Caenorhabditis elegans: one gene and its partners. The protein of the gene in region 1 purifies or fractionates together with the protein of each later gene. This does not show direct contact. Each region holds a gene or a part of one and is shown on either strand. Other genes may lie near its edges.

The links.
Region 2: the proteins of rpn-5 (region 1) and pro-3 fractionate together in Caenorhabditis elegans (co-fractionation; one large-scale study listed by BioGRID). This does not show direct contact.
Region 3: the proteins of rpn-5 (region 1) and F35G12.12 fractionate together in Caenorhabditis elegans (co-fractionation; one large-scale study listed by BioGRID). This does not show direct contact.

Annotation. Positions count from the first base shown.
Region 1 is NC_003280.10:4,696,347-4,700,100, forward strand, and holds rpn-5 (PCI domain-containing protein), read right to left. Parts: upstream 1,949-3,754; 5' UTR 1,947-1,948; coding exon 1,857-1,946; intron 1,800-1,856; coding exon 1,614-1,799; intron 1,563-1,613; coding exon 855-1,562; intron 808-854; coding exon 631-807; intron 564-630; coding exon 252-563; 3' UTR 75-251; downstream 1-74. Other genes in the region: scc-1 (Sister chromatid cohesion protein 1), read left to right, coding at 2,375-2,626, 2,673-2,822, 2,871-3,754.
Region 2 is NC_003283.11:19,116,471-19,120,224, reverse strand, and holds the start of pro-3 (Protein SDA1 homolog), read left to right. Parts: upstream 1-1,812; 5' UTR 1,813-1,820; coding exon 1,821-2,009; intron 2,010-2,391; coding exon 2,392-2,598; intron 2,599-3,754. Other genes in the region: bed-1 (BED-type domain-containing protein), read left to right, coding at 486-602; Y39B6A.13 (RsbRD_N domain-containing protein), read left to right, coding at 865-901, 945-1,084, 1,134-1,346, 1,396-1,557, 1,608-1,682. UniProt on the Caenorhabditis elegans protein: Required for 60S pre-ribosomal subunits export to the cytoplasm. Required for normal somatic gonad development and for regulation of germline development and proliferation.
Region 3 is NC_003281.10:4,580,163-4,583,916, forward strand, and holds F35G12.12 (26S proteasome non-ATPase regulatory subunit 5), read left to right. Parts: upstream 1-1,632; coding exon 1,633-1,668; intron 1,669-1,715; coding exon 1,716-1,816; intron 1,817-1,862; coding exon 1,863-1,971; intron 1,972-2,053; coding exon 2,054-2,335; intron 2,336-2,383; coding exon 2,384-2,575; intron 2,576-2,620; coding exon 2,621-2,678; intron 2,679-2,728; coding exon 2,729-2,929; intron 2,930-2,980; coding exon 2,981-3,091; intron 3,092-3,138; coding exon 3,139-3,313; intron 3,314-3,367; coding exon 3,368-3,578; 3' UTR 3,579-3,731; downstream 3,732-3,754. Other genes in the region: wdr-48 (WD repeat-containing protein 48 homolog), read left to right, coding at 3-175, 221-327, 378-476, 530-623, 678-825, 877-1,068, 1,118-1,403.

The DNA of each region.
Region 1 (3,754 bases):
CATTTGTTTCCCGTTACCTCTATCTTACAACTTGTTCCATAAAATTGTTTCTTCAAAAGCTAGTAATACACATTGAGCACGTATACGTTTACTATCAAACCGAAGAGTGAAAGGATGAAATCGATCGACAGTATTAATAAATTAATGATAAAACCGGAGAAGGTGCACGAAAAAGAAGAAATTGGGGAGGGCGAACATCAATAAGAAAAATACACATGATGGCGGAATTATACACAAAAAAGTGGTTAAATTTATGCCCGTGGGGCCGCGAGATCCAAGTTCTTGTGAACCATTTGCTCTTTCAGAATGAGATGGGAAACTTTGTTCAATGTATCCGTCAGTTTGTGCACGTTGCTCGCCCATACATCCAATTGCTCAACATTTGCCTTTTTCAAACGAAGATTGACAATACGGGAAGGGCGATGAAGTTTTGCTCCGGTGATCTGACCGGTAACAATGAGGTTACACACAAATGATTCCATTTCATCAACTGGGAAGTCGAGGAGCTCAGCGAGACGTTCGAAAGTGATTTGAGTATAGTACTTGGCAATCATACGCATGTTCTGTAAAAATACAAATAAAAATTTATAAATTTTAACAGGTTTTTAACTTATTAAAATTTTAACTTACGTGCTCTCCAACACGAAGGTGCAAATCAGACCACCGCTTCTCTCCTTCAGTTGATTTGTCGAAAATTCCGGTGTCTGGTGAGCTAGTTGTTCCACGTCTTAAAAGCTTCTCGTACTTTGCGACAATGGTTCCTTTGAAAGAAATGAGTTCTTGGTTGATGAAAAGATCCAGAATGATCTGAAAAGAAAACAATAATTAGATTAAATTCAAATCGCACAGCTTACCTTGTAGTCTGGAACGGTTTCCAATTCTCTTTGAATGGCAATTCGGTTGAGGAGATCCCATTGCTCGTTTGTGTGCGGAGCCAAAAGACAGTAGACAATGGCAGAACGAAGATGTGAGGTCGCCTTGGCTGAATCAGCTTTAATCTTTTTCGTCTCATAAATTTCACGATGATGACGGCACACGTCCAGATAGTTTCCATCGTGAAGTCCGATACGGATCATCGAATCGTAGTATTTCAGCTTCAGGTTCTGTACTTCATCTTCGTCTGACTTGTTGAAGAACTTGATATTGATTTTCTTAGAGATAATAGTGGCTCGCACAAAATCATTACGAACGAGAGAATATCTCATTTGCTCGAGAAGGTATTGCACCTTCTCTCGCATTTCCATGGAGCCATATGTTTCCACTTGAAGTTCAAGAAGCATGGTTGCAGCTTCGTCAAGCTTTCCCTCTCTCTCCAACTTCTTCACAACCATCGAGGTGAGGCGAGCACGTTCCACTTCCACATAGATCTTTCCAGCTGTAACAGTGCGAAGAGTTTCAATAAGCTTCATCTTGAGGTCCTCGGTTGGCATTTTGTCAATCATTGCGACAGCATCACGGACCATCTTTGCGATAGCCATTTTGATGAGAAGTCTTTTCTTTGAAAGCGTCATGATTGTTTCCATAAGAAGATCCCATTTCTGCCCTTCGAAACAAAGCTTCGTCTGCAAATATCAGAATTAATATTTTTTTTTTAATTTGAAAAGTATTATCACCATATATTGAACAACGCGTGTATTGCTCTTCATGTCAGCTCCAAGACGAGTGAGCTTTTCGATGTTGTTCAGACTCTCTACAGCAGCAACAGCGTCCTTTTGAGCGATATCTCGGGCTTTCAGAAGTGCTTCGTCGACTTGTTTCGAGTAGTCCTGCTCCATTTTGAACAAACGACCATCTCCACCCTGAAAATCATTTAATGAAATCTACAGATAAATTCTCGAAAACGTTTTAAAACTTACATGAGCGGCCAAATGAGCCAAATTGTCAAGTTCGCTTAGTTCTCCGACATCGACCGGGTCAACCGGGATCGGTTCGCGTCTGTCGGCCATATCTGGAATAACAATAATTAGAATATATAGTTCTGCTTTTTTAATTGAAAAATAACTTCAAAACCTATAAAAATATTACTTTTAAATGCACAAAAATTTTAAAGGTAGAGAGTAGAAAATAATTATTTCTTGAGTGACAATCCGCACAGCTGAAACGAGTGTTACCGTACCTCAAATCGCGGTAAGACCCAGGAGGAGGAAGACAAAAATATTTGAAAACGATTTTTCGAGCGTTTTGTCTTCATCATCAGAAATTTACCGCATTTTCAATGTTTGCCTCATTTTAAAACTATTGCTTCTCTCATTGTGATCATTTGAACATACTTATTCTTCCAGTTTTTGCTCTTTTATCATGTTTTCTCAGGAATTTTCTAATCTATGATCTCTTTGACGTTAACAATCTATTGTTTATCTCATGCTATTTTCAGATGTTCTATGCACAGTTCGTTCTCGCCAAAAAGGGACCGTTGGCAAAAGTGTGGCTGGCAGCTCACTGGGAAAAAAAGCTGACAAAGGCGCAAATCTTCGAAACAGATGTTCCCCAAGCGATCGAGGAAGTCATTCGCCCCAAGGTTAAAATGGCGCTCCGAACAGTTGGACATCTTCTCCTTGGAATCGTGAGAATCTACTCGAAGAAGACACGATATCTTCTGGCTGATACAAATGAAGCGTATCAAAAGGTAATTAAAGATAATTTAGAACGACAAAAACAAAGTAAATTTTCAGATGAAGATTAACTTCCGCAACGGATTCAGTTTTGAAGTCGACATTCCAGAGAATGCAGAAATTGAAGAGGATTTCTCAAACTTCATTGATAAGTACAATATCACAGTGCCCGAGTTCCACGATGCCGACTACAATGAGCAGCTCATTATGGTGCGTTGTATTAAAAGCAATTCACATTCAATTTAATCGCTGTTTCAGGCTAATGTGAGCCGTCGTGAAGACATCACCATGAAAGAAACCGTCAATTTCAATGTCGAGTTCAACATTGACGCAGATTTCGATGGGTTCGGTGACGAAGGAGAATCTTGGCAACTCGATCATCTCTACGGATCGGTGGAACCTTTGTCTTTGCGCCCCACTCCTCAGCCAGAATCGTTGATGGAAGTCGAACGAGATCGTGATGTGGCTGCAAATGGAACGGAAATTTCCCGTATAGATGCGGATAGTGTGATTTTCTCCGAAGGACCAACACGTCCAAATCTTATTTTTGACAATCAGGAAGGCGGAAATTTCATGCCTGAAATGAACCTGAAGGTTGAGAATCAAACACTGGAAAACGATGGTGGTGTTGGGCCTGCTGATATGTTCAGCTCAATGATTCATCCCGTCAGAGAGCATGCTGTCGCAGATGTTCAAAACGACGATGGTATGGACTTTGACTATCAACCGTTCGAGCCTGAAAACGTTGAGCCATCGAGACCACAAAGTCCCGAGTCATTTGCCCTGGAGCCTCTAGATGTGGAGCACATGGAAGGACGGAAAAAACGTCAGAGAAAAGCGAGAAAGCTGATTGTCGATGCTGAAACTATGATTTCAAACGACGCTTTCCGAGAGCAACAAGAAGACTTCTCCGATACGATGCGAGTAGTTGAAATGGCGCCTCCTACCAGAAAGATGTTCAATTTATGCGTCAGCGGAGATCTTCAACACCTCAGCCGTGAACCTGGATGCAAAATGTTCAACAGAGAACTCCTTCAAAGATACAGGAGATGTTTGGTCACCCGAGAGTTCGATCTCAATTACACCATGCAAGAGTTGAGCGATAGTTCGAGTTTCACTCCGTCAATGGAAGCTCAAGCTGA
Region 2 (3,754 bases), on another chromosome or scaffold:
GCTGCTAATTCAATTTTGGGCGCTGCTAAGACTACAAACTACAAGTTTGGGCGCTGCTAATTCAATTTTGGGCGCTGCTAAGACTACAAACTACAAGATTTTGGGCGCTGCTAATTCAATTTTGGGCGCTGCTTAGACCACAAACTACAAGATTTGGGCGCTGCTAATTCAATTTTGGGCGCTGCCAAGACTACAAACTACAAGATTTTGGGCGCTGCTAATTCAATTTTGGGCGCTGCTAAAACTACAAACTACAAGATTTTGGGCACTGCTAAGACTACAAACTACAAGTTTGGGCGCTGCTAATTCAATTTTGGGCGCTGCTAAGACTACAAACTACAAGATTTTGGGCGCTGCTAATTCAATTTTGGGCGCTGCCAAGACTACAAATTACAAGATTTTGGGCGCTGCTAATTCAATTTTGGGCGCTGCCAAGACTACAAACTACAAGTTTTTGGGCGCTGCTAACCCCATTTTTCTTGCAGGAAGACGCCATGACAACATATTATCGAATGAAATCTAGAAAACTGGAGCTGGAAATCAAAAAATTGGAACGAGAACTCGGCGAGGAGCAAGATGAGGCCCAAGAGCACGAAGAATAACCAATTTTTAATCTATTTTCCACAAAAGTTTATCCCGATTTCTCTTTTATTGATTTTCTGTACAATTTTCTCATCCGAAATAAATCAATTTTTTTTAATATTTCATTGAATTCAGCGGAAAATCAATAAAAAATAGAGTTTCCCGATTAATCTGATTTAAATTCCCACGCAACGACGCTCCGAAATCCCGCCAACGCGCCTTGTTTACCGTAAATCGACACTTCATTTTTCGACGAATTTCTCTGATTTCTCACCTATTTTCATGGATATTGCCCCCATTTTTCGTGAAATTTTCGATCGTAAGTGCTTAAAATGATTGAAAAATTTAATTTTTGATTTTAGAATTCAGTTCTGACAATATATATCGCTCATGGCACAAAATATCCCAGGAAATTCGAAGCGGCGATGAAAAAGAGCGCGTTTTCCGGTTGATTGTGAAGATTTCGATGCAAAAACTTGATACATATGAAGCTGGCAAGGAGGTGAGTGTGAAATTCATCAAAATTTGAAGAAAAACGTCAAAATTTTCAGGTAAATCGTGAAAATCCGCAAATTTCGGCGCAATTTCCCGATTTTCTCTTCAAATTTCTCCACGCTTTCCAATTTCTGCCGTCAGATCAGCAAACCTTTGCGAATTCCATGTTCTTGCTGAAAATAATCGATTTATTCGGTTCGGAATGCCCGAAAATTATAAATTTCTCTGAAATTTCATATATTTCGAGGCTTCTCGAGCTTGCCACTAACGTAAGTGGTGATTTTTTGCCGAAATCTTTAATTTTTGAGCTAATTTCAGGTATTATTAAAGGATTTATTCGAAAACTCGGTGAATTTATACCCAAAAGACGGGAAATTCAGGAAAATCGGCGCCCGGGACCTGCTCGACGGAGTTGTGATGTCAGAAGAGCCGGAAGATGGGAAATATAAAGAAAAATCGTTTTTAAAGATGAAAACGAAGGTTTTAATCGATTTTCTGAAGGAAAAATGAGTAAAAATTCGAATTTTCAGCTAATGGAGCTCGAGCCACGTGGAAATTCGGATTTTGAGCGGAAATATTTGGATTTTGAATCTAAAAATGTGTAAATAGTACTAAAATTTTAATAAAACGGGTTTATTTATTGATTTTATCGTCTTTTTACTGGTTTTCAGCCAGAAATCTTACTTTTTCCACTGTTTTCCTAATTTTTCAACCTTAAACTCCACACATTTTCAGCCAAAAAAATGGGTAAAGTGTCAAAATCACCCGGAAAGGGCGAAAAAAGGATCGGAAAAGTCGGCAAAAAAAATGGAAAAAGCAATGCTCCGACGGAGGGCTCCAATTCTGGAAAAGCTTCACGCTTCACAATGTCCGAAAGGAATTTGGGATTGATGCAAGAAATTATTCGAAAAGATCCGGAATCCTATAAAGAGGTGCGAAATTCGAGAAAAAACGAGAAAATTCGCGAATTTTGGGTTAAAATTGAGTAAAAAACGACGAAAAATTCGATTTTGGGCGCTGCTAAGACTACAAACTACAAGATTTTGGGCGCTGCTAAGACTACAAACTACAAGATTTTGGGCGCTGCTAATTCAATTTTGGGCGCTGCTAAGACTACAAACTACAAGATTTTGGGCGCTGCTAAGACTACAAACTACAAGTTTTTGGGCGCTGCTAACACCAAATTTTGCCAATTTTCTGCTAAAACATCACTTTTTTCAAATAAAAATTAAAAATACATACATTTTTCGACTACAAACTACACTTTTTCATGAAATTTATCGATTTTAGCTCTAATTTATTAATTTTTTGCAGGAATTCCTCGAACAATTCAACTATTTCGTTCAAACAATGAAACTTCTCCACTTGCAACCCGAACAATCTCGTCAAGAAATGCAATCTCTCGTCGATTCGGTGCTTTTTCTGTCCGGATTGGCGAAACATTACCCGAAAGAGTCGAAACAATTCTCCGATAGTCTTTTTGAGCTTTTGAGAGAGCAAGGAGCTGGTTTGGATCCAGAAGTATGTGGAAAACCGAGGAAAAATGCGAAAAATTGATAGAAAGACAGGAATTTTCATCGAAAATGCGCCCTAAATCGATTTTTTCTTCATAGAGTGCTCAATATTTTGGGAAAAATTCGGAATTTCTGCCGAATACTTAGATTTTGGCTCAAAAATTCAGAAAATACTGCGTTTTTTCACTAAAAATTGCGAAATTGTTTCAAATTTCCGAAAAAAGGAAGCAAACATTCAAAAAACCAGAGAAAATTAAAAATTTCTTTATAAATTTCTTTTATTCTGAAAATTTCCAGAAAAATCAATAAATTTTTAGTAGAAATCAATGAAATTTCTGAAAAATCGATAAATTTTCAGAAAAGTCGATACATTTTTAGAAAAATGAATGAAATTCGAGAAAAATCGATAAAATTCCAAAAGAATCGATAAAATTCAAGAAAAATCGATAATTTTACTGAAAAAACGATAAATTTAAATCTATAAAAATCAGGAAAAATCATAAAAATTCGAAAAAATCAATAAATTTTCAGAAAAATCAATAATGTTTCAGAAAATTCGATACATTTCCAGAAAAATCAATAAAATTTTAGAAAAATCAATAAATTCCCAAAAAAATCGATAAATTTTCAGAAAAATCAATAATTTACATTTTTGGAATTTTCCGAAATTTTTTGGCCAAAAATTGAACAATTTCAATGTTTTTCTAATTAAAGATCCAATTTAAAGCGAATTTCCGCATTTACTGTTGGAAAATTTCGATTTTTTCACCGAAAAAGTGCCAAAATACCAGAAAATCCAGTTAAAAATTCAATTTTTTCACCTTAAAGGTGGTGTAGTCGAATTATTTTTATCGCCTTATTAGACTCAAAATTGTCTAAAAACACCGAATTAATGAAACTTCTTGAAAACTTTTTAGAAAAAAGTTATGATGACTCAAAAAATGGTCTAAAATTCGTTAAAATCGGAAATTTGACTTGTCAAGCGGCTGAAAACTATTTTTTTTGAAATTACCGTCAAATTTTGAGTATACAAGTTGATTATCTTGTGTTTTCAACTTGATTAAGGTATTTAAAAGCAGATGGACAGCGAGATTTTCAATTGTTTTAAACAAAAACTCGCCGTCCATCGACTTTTAAATACCTTAATCAAGTTCAAAACGCAA
Region 3 (3,754 bases), on another chromosome or scaffold:
AGCTGGTCCATCCGCCCATCAGCCCAACTTTCGATTGGAGGAGACGAAGATGGTCCTTCAACTTCAAATGCAAATCACTCAGTATCAGCTTCATCATCACCTCCAGTAACATTCAAGTATATCCGAGTGAAGGATCAAAAAGGACAACAGAGCACACCAGAGCTCGTTATTCCTGGTAAACAGACTATATGCAGATATAATTTTTAATCTGTTTATTCAGGCGCTCCTGCCATCAAGAAACATGCCATGTTGAGCGACAAACGACACGTTTTGACACGAGACTCGGATGGAAATGTGGCGCTATATGATGTTTTAGCAGCAAGAAAGGTTTGTCCCCATTATTAAAAGTTACTACTTGAATTTTGATAAAATTTCAGATAAAAGATTATGGAAAGCGAATATTTGAAGAAGTTGTCGATGAGAACTCTAGGCAAGTATACATTCCAAGCTGGTTTGTCGTTGATTCAAAAAGTGGAGTGAGTTTTAAGTTTTATAAATTTTTGAAAAATAAAACCCTATTCGATTTCAGATGCTCCAAATCACTTTGGACGAGCTGGACGCTCTCTCCTCGTGGCTTTCATCAAAAGACGCAGGTTTTGATGATAATGATCGAGAGACAAAACGTAAGATATTATACGAAAATAAAAACTTTCTCATTCCTTTGTAAGAAATTATAGTGAATTACGGTGGAATGATGCTACGATCACTCTTCGAACGATGGCCACCTTGTAAAATGACAAATGTTGATGCAGCTGATGCAGATGATGTGCAAAAAGCAACACTGAATTTTATTTCTCTACCGGAACACACACCGCTTATTATTTGGTAAAATTATTTGAAGGCTCAAATTTTAAACATTAAAAAAACTAATTTCAGCGAAGGAAATGGTCGTCCGCTCTACCGTCTTCTTGTTGGCGACGCTGGGAAGGAGTTCGAAGCAAATGAGCTGGCACAAATTGCACCCATGTGGGTTATAGACGCAATCGAACGAAATCAGCTGCCGAAATTCAATAAAATGCCATTTTATCTTCTTCCACATCCGTCGACAAATCCCAAACAGCCTAAAAAGTTTGTGAAAACGCGGGGTTCATTCATTAAAATTTTGAACTATTTTCAGAGATCGTCTGTCAGCAACTGAAATGCTTCAAGTTAAGAAAGTGATGGAGCATGTTTACGAAAAAATACTCAGCACTAATGATGGTAAGGTATTTAGAAATAAGAAGATATTAATGGTGTTTGAAGATATTACAGTTGGCTCGATTCCACTAAATCAAATTCATACAAAAATGGAAATGTACTGCAATGATCAGAGGTTGGAGCCGGATATGGATTTGCGAACAGTCAAGCATCTCTATTGGAAGCAAAGTGGAGAGCTTCTTCTACATTATAAACCAGTTAAATAGCTTTAACATTTAATTTAAGTTATTTATTTGAACATACTTATCTAACATTTGTACTTTATTGAAAATTCACTGTCTAACTTCTTTTTTGATACGGGTAAAACCGACTTTCAATTAAATTCCATGCTCTTTCCATATGTCTTTCTTTCTTTTTTAAAATTATGATGGTTTAACTACCAGCTTATCTTCATTTCTTGCTTAATATTTTTACCTCCTACCGTATTCGTTCCAGATGGCTAGTTTGGAAGAACATGAAAAACTGATCGAAGTAGGTTTTATTGAAATTTCTTCCAATTTTAAGCCAATTTTTTTCAGGAGTGGAGAAACGATTACATCGCAGAACGCAGTTCGAAAAAGGGATGGGAGATTCTGGAAAAACTTGCAAAGATGCAAATTGAAGCGGCTCAGCAAATGGAGTACGTTAAATGAATATCAGATAGTATCAAAATGAAATTATTTCAGAACAGAAGATGACGTGGCCGCTGCTGATTTTGATGACTTCAGCACCAGCAAGCTTGTAAAATTGATTATTGGAGATATTTCAACCAAAGATCTTCTTGTCGATCATCAGGTACCTGACATCAATTTTTAGACTATTCTAATCTAATAAAAAAAAATTCTAATAAAAATTGTAATATCTCAATCTTTTACAGATAATTCTTCTCGAATTCATTCCATCTGCACATCCGAATATTCTTCGCCATGTAGTCCGCACAGTCCGTGAGAAGGAAGGAGCGATTTCCCTTTTGAAGTCATCATCGGTTGCAATTGGAGTTGCATTTGCTCGAAGAGTTACAGATGCTGAAGCTGGAGAGGAAGTTGGACGTCTGATGGCACACCTCGTGGATCACGACTTGATTAATGAAGAGCTCAAATCGCAGCTGAGTGTTGCCAATGGAAGAGAAAGTTCATCCATTAGAAGTCGTATTTACTCCGTAATTATTTGAATTCTTAATTTGATAATTCATTGAAAAATTGTTCAGATTGCTACTGAACGAGCTCGCATTTCATCTAACACTTCATGCATTCATTGGCTCTACGACAAGATTCTTAAAAGTGTTCTAGATACTCAAGATGTTCTTGCTCAACTGGATGCTTTGGACACTTTCGTTGATATTGCACTTAGTGGAAAACAGAATGCAGAGGCTTTGTACGAATTGGGAATCGTCAAAAAGGTTTGAATTTGCAATAAATTTGTTTTTTTAATGTTATTCCTTTAGATTTATGAGTTGATGGAATGGTCGAAGGAGTCTCCAGATGGTGGGGAAATGTATTTATGTAAGTTACCAGTTCATTCAATTAATATTTAACAATATTTTTATCAACAGACGGAACACGTTTCATGTGTTATATGGCTCGTTCCTACCCACAAGTTCTTAAATATTTCCCTGATCTTGCACGGCGTCTCATGCTCGAAATCAGAATGTTCGATCAATTGAGTGTGGTCAGTCGTCTTGGAGCTTTCGATCATTTTGCCAGTATGTGCTTCTCTGTCGAGGCAAAAGAAACTTTGGAGGATATGTTCAAAGGTATTTTCCAAATTTTTCAAAAGCAAGATATTAAAAATCATATTGTTTCAGATTCAAAAGATCTTGAGAATACTTTGGGAGCTGCTGGTGCTGCATGTACGATGGGAACAATGGAATTGAAGTGTCGAACTCTTCAGGCCGTCACTCTCCTTTTCCAGAATAGTGAGCTTATTTAGTTATGTGGAATGTTTGAAAATTAATAATTTCAGCGACTGAAAAAATTGCTGAAACATGGTACGAGCGTCTCGGTGGAAAAGCATTGACACATGTAGCAGTTGGAAATGTTAAGAAGCCGTTCCCTGAGATGAAGAATTGTATTTATGATTTCTGGCAACAGTTGTTCACATATCCATCAGTTGTTCATCAGTTCATCACTTTCCAGGGGTATGTTAACGACATTTTTATGCGAGATTTTTTATTAAAATTGTTTTTTCTCAGATTCATTGACTGGGCATTGGACGATAAATCAGAAGATAATCCAGAATACGAAATTCGCAAACGTCAAATTATTCATCGAATCATTGAATTGTCGGAGAATACAAAGAGCGCCGAAGTACTCAAAGCTGATCCAGAACTGATTGGCCGTCTCAAGAAATATCTGCAACCGGCTGTTGCACCTGCTCCGCGTGTTGAGGAAATGGCTCTTTAGATTGATCTGTATATCCTGAATCTCTTTGACTATTCAATTTTTTGTTTCTTTTTCATCTCAATTATTCCAATACAGTATTTTATTGCCTCAAAAATGACTTGTTCGCCGTTAATTCATGTTCCGGTTTGAAGTTTTAATGAAATTTATTGATGTAATGTTTTTAATATAAGTCTTTA